2 linked regions of the Arabidopsis thaliana genome follow. The protein of the gene in region 2 interacts with the protein of the main gene of each other region in a pairwise test. Each region holds a gene or a part of one and is shown on either strand. Other genes may lie near its edges.

The links.
Region 1: the proteins of AT3G25790 (region 2) and IAA33 interact in binary tests that used the Arabidopsis thaliana proteins (3 or more experiments, as listed by UniProt).

Annotation. Positions count from the first base shown.
Region 1 is NC_003076.8:23,267,763-23,271,627, reverse strand, and holds IAA33 (indole-3-acetic acid inducible 33), read right to left. Parts: upstream 1,715-3,865; 5' UTR 1,605-1,714; coding exon 1,168-1,604; intron 748-1,167; coding exon 669-747; 3' UTR 536-668; downstream 1-535. Other genes in the region: GS1 (Haloacid dehalogenase-like hydrolase (HAD) superfamily protein), read left to right, coding at 1-110. UniProt on the Arabidopsis thaliana protein: Aux/IAA proteins are short-lived transcriptional factors that function as repressors of early auxin response genes at low auxin concentrations.
Region 2 is NC_003074.8:9,410,858-9,415,742, forward strand, and holds AT3G25790 (myb-like transcription factor family protein), read left to right. Parts: upstream 1-2,194; 5' UTR 2,195-2,338; coding exon 2,339-2,483; intron 2,484-2,587; coding exon 2,588-2,883; intron 2,884-3,204; coding exon 3,205-3,424; intron 3,425-3,537; coding exon 3,538-3,614; coding exon of another isoform or gene 3,615-3,653; exon of another isoform or gene 3,654-3,758; coding exon 3,759-4,094; 3' UTR 4,095-4,383; downstream 4,384-4,885. UniProt on the Arabidopsis thaliana protein: Probable factor involved in nitrate and phosphate signaling in roots. Integrates nitrate and phosphate starvation responses and adaptation of root architecture, depending on nutrient availabilities.

The sequences.
Region 1 (3,865 bases), on a different chromosome or scaffold from region 2:
ATCCTAGACTAGATATCTCTCACCAAGATGTTGCAGATCAAATCATAACCTCTCTAGTCGATTTTAAACCGGAAGAGTGGGGCTTGCCTCCATTCGAAGATTCGAACTAAACGATACAAACGTCTTCAAGGTAATGATAAAAACTCAAATCATGAAGCTTATTCTTTGTCTTGTTATATTGTTTTGGCATGTACATGACAAAGGCCATGAGGCTTTATGTCGTCAAGGGTTCTATGATTTTCTGGCTATTGAAGACATAAAAAGAAACTAAGTGGTGACATGACGAGAGACCAAACAAAAAAATTTGCCTCAACGTTTAAACAAATTATTTTTGTACAACTACTCTTACCCACAAGTTTCAACATTGGCTTATCTTATTTTGTTCTTGTCGGTATAGCTGAATTGATTCCTTCTTTATGGTTTGGAATCTCTCTTCTTTACGCATCACTAACATGTGTTGTTACTGCAACGTTTCATGTTTTACACTATAATTAAGAAAAATAGGTTATATTTAGTATTACAACTTTTTTTTTATTTTTCATTTCGTACGTGAACAAAGAAGCAAACACATCCAATGATGATTTTACAGTAATGCCATTAGGATTCAACCGACATCGGCTGTTACAAAACATCGTATGACATCGTTGCAAAAACGGTCTTTCTCCTCCTCACTCGTTTCTTTTAACTTGTCTTGTGTTTCCCTTGACCGGCAAGATTCGAATTCTCTTCGCTACACGAACAAAGTCCCTGTGTCAACAAGCAAATTTTCTCGTTAACGTCCAAGTATTAAAATATTGCCAGTTAAAGATCACGAAACCTTCAAAATCTAATTATACTAAACATTGAACGAAAACCGTAATTTTTAAGAAAGATATATAACGGTATCAAACAAAATAACTATAGCCAGCAAAATTGAGTATACAGAATAAGGATAGCAACAAAATATCATTTCACTAAATTATTGATATTTGTCTTTTTAGAAAAGCAGAGAACATGTGTTTTCTTGGCAGCTTGAAAAACTTGTGTTTGTAGTATTTTACCGTTAGGGGAAAAAAAATTAATATAGTTTTCCTATGTTTAAAATAAGGCTCGTTTTATATATAGTTTGTATATATATGGCCATCCTGACAATAATAAAGAAAATTAATGTTAGGGGAGGAAAATTACTTCCAAGTAAGATCTCCGGCAAGAAGGAGATCGTTCTCCATGTCTTCATAAGCAATAAGATGGCCAGGAATGGCGTTTGACAGATCAAGATCGTCCGTTGAATCAGCTCCATCGACAAACATTTGCCTTAGAGCCGAAGCCAAGCTCTGATAACTCCCATGCTTGTCTAGGCTTATGCGTTGACATATAGAACGTCCCTCTAGCACAACCGTAACCGGAGGAACCACCGATGAAACAAGATCGTCCTCTACGTTAAGCCCAAAGCCTTGGAATGATCTCCCGGCCGCTCCAGAGCTGGAGTTGCTATTATTATGGTTTTTGGAAGCCGGTTTGGGTATGAAAGGTGTCGTGGTGTCACGAGGTTGTTGTGTGGTGCTGTTGTCTTGATGAAACCTTCTTTGCAAAGAGTCTTGGCTTTGTGGCTCGAAACTATTCATATTGAGAGTAGGGTTTTAGGGCTTTTGTAACTTAGAGAAGACAACGGACGCTTACATGGAACTCAAAGTGTTTCGTGTTTTTTTGTTAAGCTAGAGAGAGACTGTGTGTTTGATGAGATTCTGGTGAAAGTGAATGTATGTACATATAAATAGATAGAGAAAGCGTAAATTGTGTGGCAAACAAAAAGGTGTCTTTTATTTTTCATTTTTCAATTTTCGTTTGGTTTAATGTTGTCTTAAATGTTTCATTTAATTTGAAAGTACATCTGCTCTTTGGATTTCTCGTTAGACAATGAATCCTCAATTAACAATCAATTTAATATTTAATTATTCAATGAACAATTGGATTCACGTAAAAATGTTCTCACATGCTTATGTATTAAATGTGTTTTTACAATTATTGTATTTTGCTAACTTATTCTACTATATATCTATCACTGCGACTGTGAGAGTAATAAGAGCTGTTACAGGAAATGTTCCAAGGTTTCACTAATTTTGACCATATATTACCAGCAAGGTATTAGGTATTTATGTATACAAGTATAAAGAAATTTTAAAATAAAAATGTTTGGAAATGTTTACGTGGACAAAAAGAAAGCTGATGGGAAAACATAAAAACAGTGAAAAAGAGTCAATATAATAAGAAATGTGAATTAGCTAGAAAACTCCAAATTAATTAAAGACATTATAAATTGGTGATTAATTAAATAATGAAAGAAGGTATCATAGAAAAAGAGATCTTGTAAATTGTAACGCATGGGCTGCGGAGACGACCGCGCTGCCGTCGCCGAACGCCTCGCTTCCTTGACTCGCGCCTGGTCGGGAGTTCCACGTCATTTTCTTTTCATACACTAATACACACATCAAGCATACATACGAAGAATATAAAAATTGTATTAACCGGTAAACACACGCATATATCCACACGACCACACATCAACGTCATATAGAATATACATGCATAGCCATTTATCCATGTAACATCACATACACACACATGAATACGTTTAACGTTTGATCTCATACTTCTCGGATTTAACTCGGTTTGACGAAAGTAAAACAAAGTATTAGACCTTGGTCCAAAATGTAGACATCACCCCTCTAATAATAATGAAAACTCATGTTATTTGGGAGGAGTTGTTTAGAGTGATTAGATCCAAGAAAATATGTGAACTTAATTAGAAATTTCTTAGATCAAAAAAGAGGGAAAAAAAGAAGAATTGCACTCTAAACTCATACAATATAATCCAAAGTCTTTTCGGTTATAGATTTTGGTGTACGGAACTTATCTGAAAATAAATAAATAACAAGTTTGTTCGAGCTACCTAAAATTAGTTGATTCCAATTCAAGTCATTTTAAAACATTATACACGATTTTAAAATCGCAAATAATTAAGTTGAGTGACCAAATGTATAGGTAAATCATGTATGAGTCAAATAACTGTGCCTAAAATTGTAATTTTATGCTAAAATGTTGATTTTCATATGGACTATTAAATGAAAAATTAACGGTGGATCCAACAAGCAATAGGTGAATAAGCTAAAGCAAACCCAAGAAGACATAAAACGAAGCACAAGAAGCATATTTTCTTAAGTTTGAAGCAAACAATAATTTACTCTATACATTTAAATTTCAACTCGGGATTCGAATTAGAAGACTCGAAGATCCGACATGGAGGCATGGAAATATTTAAAACTTACCTCGGTTTCATAGATCTCAATTTAGGACTATAGTTTAACACATTACTACGTCTACATGTTATATTTAATCATCTAATTAATTTGTCTCGATTTTTGTTTTTTTTCGATTCTACAGACATACGTTAATGTTTGCTTATTCCACTCCCCGATAATAATCAAAATTTAAATAACAATCAAACACTTACCCGCTGTTTTGGTCTGTTTCTAACCAAACAATGATAATCATTTTGTCATGCTCATCCAACATTAGCACAAGTCTAAACAGGCCTTACACATCAGCTCAATAAAGCCTTAATAGGCCCAATTAAAACAGTATGGGCCCACATTCTTCCTTCTCTTAAAGCCTAAACAGTTGGCGCGTCAAAATCACGTGGAGGAGCACTGAAGCCAGTAGGTGTCTCTTCACAGGATCATTTCCTTAAAGCTCATTATCACAAAAACAAATCCTTTTGATTATTATTACTGAAATAAAAAGCAAAGTGAAAAAGGTTTTAAAAACTTTTATTTTCGCTCTTCTCCAGAAACATTCCGTTTCAGATATTTTTGATTTTTGAATTTGT
Region 2 (4,885 bases):
TGTCAAGTGAATCGTGTAATATTGTTATACTCTAAAGATCGATATTATTGTGTCTACCAGTCAAAACATGTGTTGGAGGGAAATTTTATTTGTAGGTTCATCATATGTCAGGAACATTATTGTCATGTTTCTGTAAGCTTTCTGACATTTAAGTTCAGATTTTGACCATAAGTTTTGATCATAAATGAGAAAAGAACAAAGTTAAGTTTAGTTTTGCGAATGTTAAAAAAAATAAATATCTTATTTGCACTTTTTGAATTATTTACCAAATATAAAAACCAAGATGGTGTTTTTTTTGTAATACCAAAAAAGAGAGAATTTTAGCTACGAGAGAATGCAAAATTCGGATTTGTGATCCGTTTTATTGAAAAAGATTTTAGTTTCATAGAACATATATCAAGTAGTATACAAATTGAAAAATAGGGTCTGATAGATCCGAGACACTTGGGTATTATCACCTAACTTTTAAACGTTTATGCCAGTTTTTTGACAAACAAATCACGAAGTATTTGAGGATAAATACAGTATTTGTTTATGTTTTCTATCTTTTTTTAGGAGGATGAGTTCATTGGTTTGATCTTAAACAATTGAAAATTTATAGGTTACCACCAATTTTGCGATTTTTTTTCTTCTTCTATACTTTAGATTTAAGTTTATATATAGATATTTTCGTTTGATATCAATATGGGAAGCCCACAAAGTTGGGGAGTTTAGTGGTACCTTTTTTTTTGGTTCACAATTGCATACGAATATTGGGGAGTTTAGTGGTACTATTGCATACGAATATTGGAGATACGAGAAAGGGGTGGAAAAAATTGATGATAAATTGAGCCCAAGTAGGAAACAATACACAAGGCCGTATATAAAGTTGGCATGTTGGGTTCAATACATGAGGCCGTCTTTTTGTTCGGCCGCGGCCAGTGGTGAACACTGAATATGGCCTTTTGAGACTCCGAGGGGACAATTATAATCCAACACTAAAATACATCTCTAAACTCTATTTGCCAACTAATTTCTTTATTTAAAATACGTTTCAATCTAATCAAAACAGATAAGCCTGTTAAACACAATTTTGATTTCTCGAGACTACGAATAGGTGGATCTATTTGTATCATAACATCATAACATATAAATCGATATTTAAAATTTTGAGTAATAAATTTGATGTTGGTCTCTAACAATTTGCGGGTAATTTCTTGATATTTTGGACATCACCCGAACATATTAGCTCATTACACACCAATTTCTATAGAGGCAACATATTTTCTTATCATTAAAGTTGACAGCTATTAGAGCCCTTAATCACGTTTGATTTCATATCTAATTCCAAATTATATGGATATAACAACAGCATAGCATATAAATTGATATGTGTAGCATTAGGTTATATCTTTGACCGGGAAATGCATTGGCAGGCCATTATACTGGGAAGATGCATTCGCATATATATTAGTAGGTGTACTTAGTAATCGTCTACTTGACATAATTAAAATTACCGGTCAAAAACACGAGATATATAGGAACTCATATTGTGTGGATATATATATTAGTTTACATGTGTATTTATGGATAAGGTTATAACGAATTCAACAAATTCTCAAGGTCCTATGAAATTTCAACAAGTATATTACAGTTTTTTTTTTATATATGGCTTTTCTTCTCCCATGTTTCGGCTGTCTACGAAGAGACATTTGGCTTTTCATATTGGGATATTGAAAAATACATTTTCAACGTTTTATATATGATTTTGTGTGGGTGAAATTAATACTTACAGAACAAAAGAGCTCATGCACGTTTAGTGTTATTTTGGCGGCTGTTTTTAAGGATTTGCATATATTCTTTCCCACGTATTGAATTCTATAAATGACATAATAATCAAACTTGTAAAAATAATAGAATGAATAGTTTATAGTCTTCCAAAATTCGATTTCTGTTGTAGTGGAATCGCAGACATTTTCTAACTTATGAATGTTGTTATAGGACTTCTTTAAACCTTGGTTGGATATACCCAAATAAATATAAAGTTCACACGAAAAAAACTTGGAATCACATCCAGGAATATTCACCACTGGATCAATACTACTATACAACAAGGGAAAAAAAAATATTTAACTTGGGAAGGTATATACTTATTTTATAAACAAAAGCAAGATTCGCCTTGTAATGCGACGGCCCGACTTCTCTCTTTCAAATAATGATCCTTGAGAAACCCTATAGAGCCATATATACGTTGTCTTTATAAAGAGACATAACTCATCTCTTCTTGACTAACTTTATAGTTAAAGTTATCAATTATTCGAAAACAAAGCTGGTTTTTTGTTTTGTCCCTTAAACCAGCATGATCAAGAACTTAAGTAATATGAAGAATGACAATCAGAAACGTGAAAAATGTTGCGAGTACATCGAAGCTCTCGAAGAAGAACGTCGCAAGATCAATGTTTTCCAACGCGAGCTTCCTCTTTGCGTAGAGCTCGTGACTCAAGGTACATACATATGCATTTACATTTCATATAAGATATAATGAGTTTATATATATGGATTAAATGTTAGATCTAAAGATTTTTAAAAAATGTTTTATGGAATTTAGCGATTGAGGCGTATAAGAGGGAGATATCAGGGACGTCGACGGATAACTTATACGGACAGTCGGAGTGCTCAGAGCAGACCACCGGAGAATGTGGGCGCATCTTGGATCTGTTCATACCAATCAAACACTCTTCGACCTCCATAGAAGAAGAGGTTGATGACAAAGATGATGATGATGAAGAACACCAGTCTCATGAAACCGACATAGATTTTGATGACAAGAACATGAAATCTGAATGGCTCAAGTCTGTTCAGCTCTGGAACCAATCCGACGCAGTTGTTTCTAATAATAGACAGGTAAGATTTTTATTTTATTTTATTTTTTCTTTGTTTACATTTGTGTTTTTGTTTGCCTTGAATTACATTTACTGTATTGTTTCCAAACCAGCCTATTGACGTTGTTAATTGTTAACGTAAAGACTAAACGCATAACCTTCTGTGTACTTTATGCGATTGTGTTTGTAACTTACAACTTCACAAATAGATTATTCTTTTTTCTTCCAGTTTTTGTTTTTTTTAATAGACCGAAAAAGGATGGGTGCACAAAAAGATAGTAAATTGCTCACAAAAAGATTTTGTTTTGTAATTTAAGTTTCTAATAGCATTTTGCGTATTCAGGATCGCTCACAAGAAAAGACAGAGACGCTGGTAGAGTTGATAAAAATAAACGATGAAGCAGCGAAGAAAAACAACAACATAAAATCACCGGTGACTACTAGCGATGGTGGCAGTGGCGGTGGCGGTGGCAGAAGAGGGCAGAGAAAGAATAGGCGGTGTTGGTCGCAAGAGTTACACAGACGCTTCTTGAACGCTCTTAAACAACTTGGTGGCCCTCATGGTGCGTTTCTTGGTTTTAAGTTAAAACATATATATCAGTAGTCATATCTTTTTGTTAGGGCTCATGAAGTTTAATTAATTCGTAATGACCTTTTTGTTCACTAAATTTTGAAGTAGCTACGCCGAAACAGATAAGAGATATAATGAAGGTTGATGGGTTAACAAATGATGAAGTCAAAAGTCATTTACAGGTTAGTAAATCATATTCCATGAAAAATACATGTAACTAATATGTAAAAGGTATATATTAATTTCATCATTTTAGTTACAAATGTTTTTATAATTTAGAAGGAAAATAATATTTATTGTTTCATATTTTTTTTAATGATAAATAGAAATATAGGCTGCATGCAAGACGGCCAAGCCAAACAACACCGAACAACAGAAACTCTCAAACGCAACATTTCGTGGTGGTTGGTGGAATATGGGTCCCACAGACTAACCATTCAACGGCCAACGCAGTCAACGCCGTCGCATCGGGTGAGACCACCGGGATTTATGGGCCTATGGTCAGTTCGTTGCCGTCCGAGTGGCCGAGGCATTCCAATTTTGGTAGGAAGATTTCGGAAGATAGATCAAGATGCTCTAACAACGGATTTTTTCGGTGTAGCTCACCAGCTATGTCTTGTTCTACTCGTACAAAGACGAAAGATGCAAAAATAATATCATAAATTTAATTTTTGATTATTTATTAAGAGAAAAAAGTTATAGACATTAATATTGTGAAGAGTGTATATATATAGATGTTGGAGCGTGACTCTATGTTATTTTTAGTTTCTTGGTTTTTTTCTATTAGCCGATGATATCTTTGATCAAAGATCCATATTAGCTAATGCATACTATATTTTTTTACGTCGTGCAATATGCATATCGATGATAATAAGTTAATAACACAAAATTATTAGATTACTAGTTGAAGAATCGTATATAGAAAGAATCGTAATTATATGTAGAATGATGGTATATTATCAGCATATATTTTTATAGAGGCTTTAGCCACCAAAATTAATAAATGTCAGTCACAAACTCAAATTAATTAATTTCGTCCTTAACATATGTATGTCGGCCAGGTTTCTATTTGCTATAGTAATATAAGATACACAGAAACATTGTAGAAATGTAAAATGTCTTCGAAAACAGAAGAAAAATACATATATAAACTTTTTTGAATGAAAATAAAAAAAATTATGCCATACAGAAGGATCGGAACTCGGTAGAATATGCCGGAATCTGAAGAGCATAATCTGCAAATATGTTTTTCAGGTTAAACTTTATTCTCTTGTTGCTTGTACTGGATATTAACACAAATGTGCACGTTGGGCTCCTTCTCGTGGAGTGAATTATTCTTTATTTGTTCCTTTTACTTTTGTAAATACAATTTTTCCATATAAGTATATAACTGTGTAAATATTAAACCCAAAATATGTTAAAAGACAAGTTTTTTTGTAACTTAAGGGCAAGA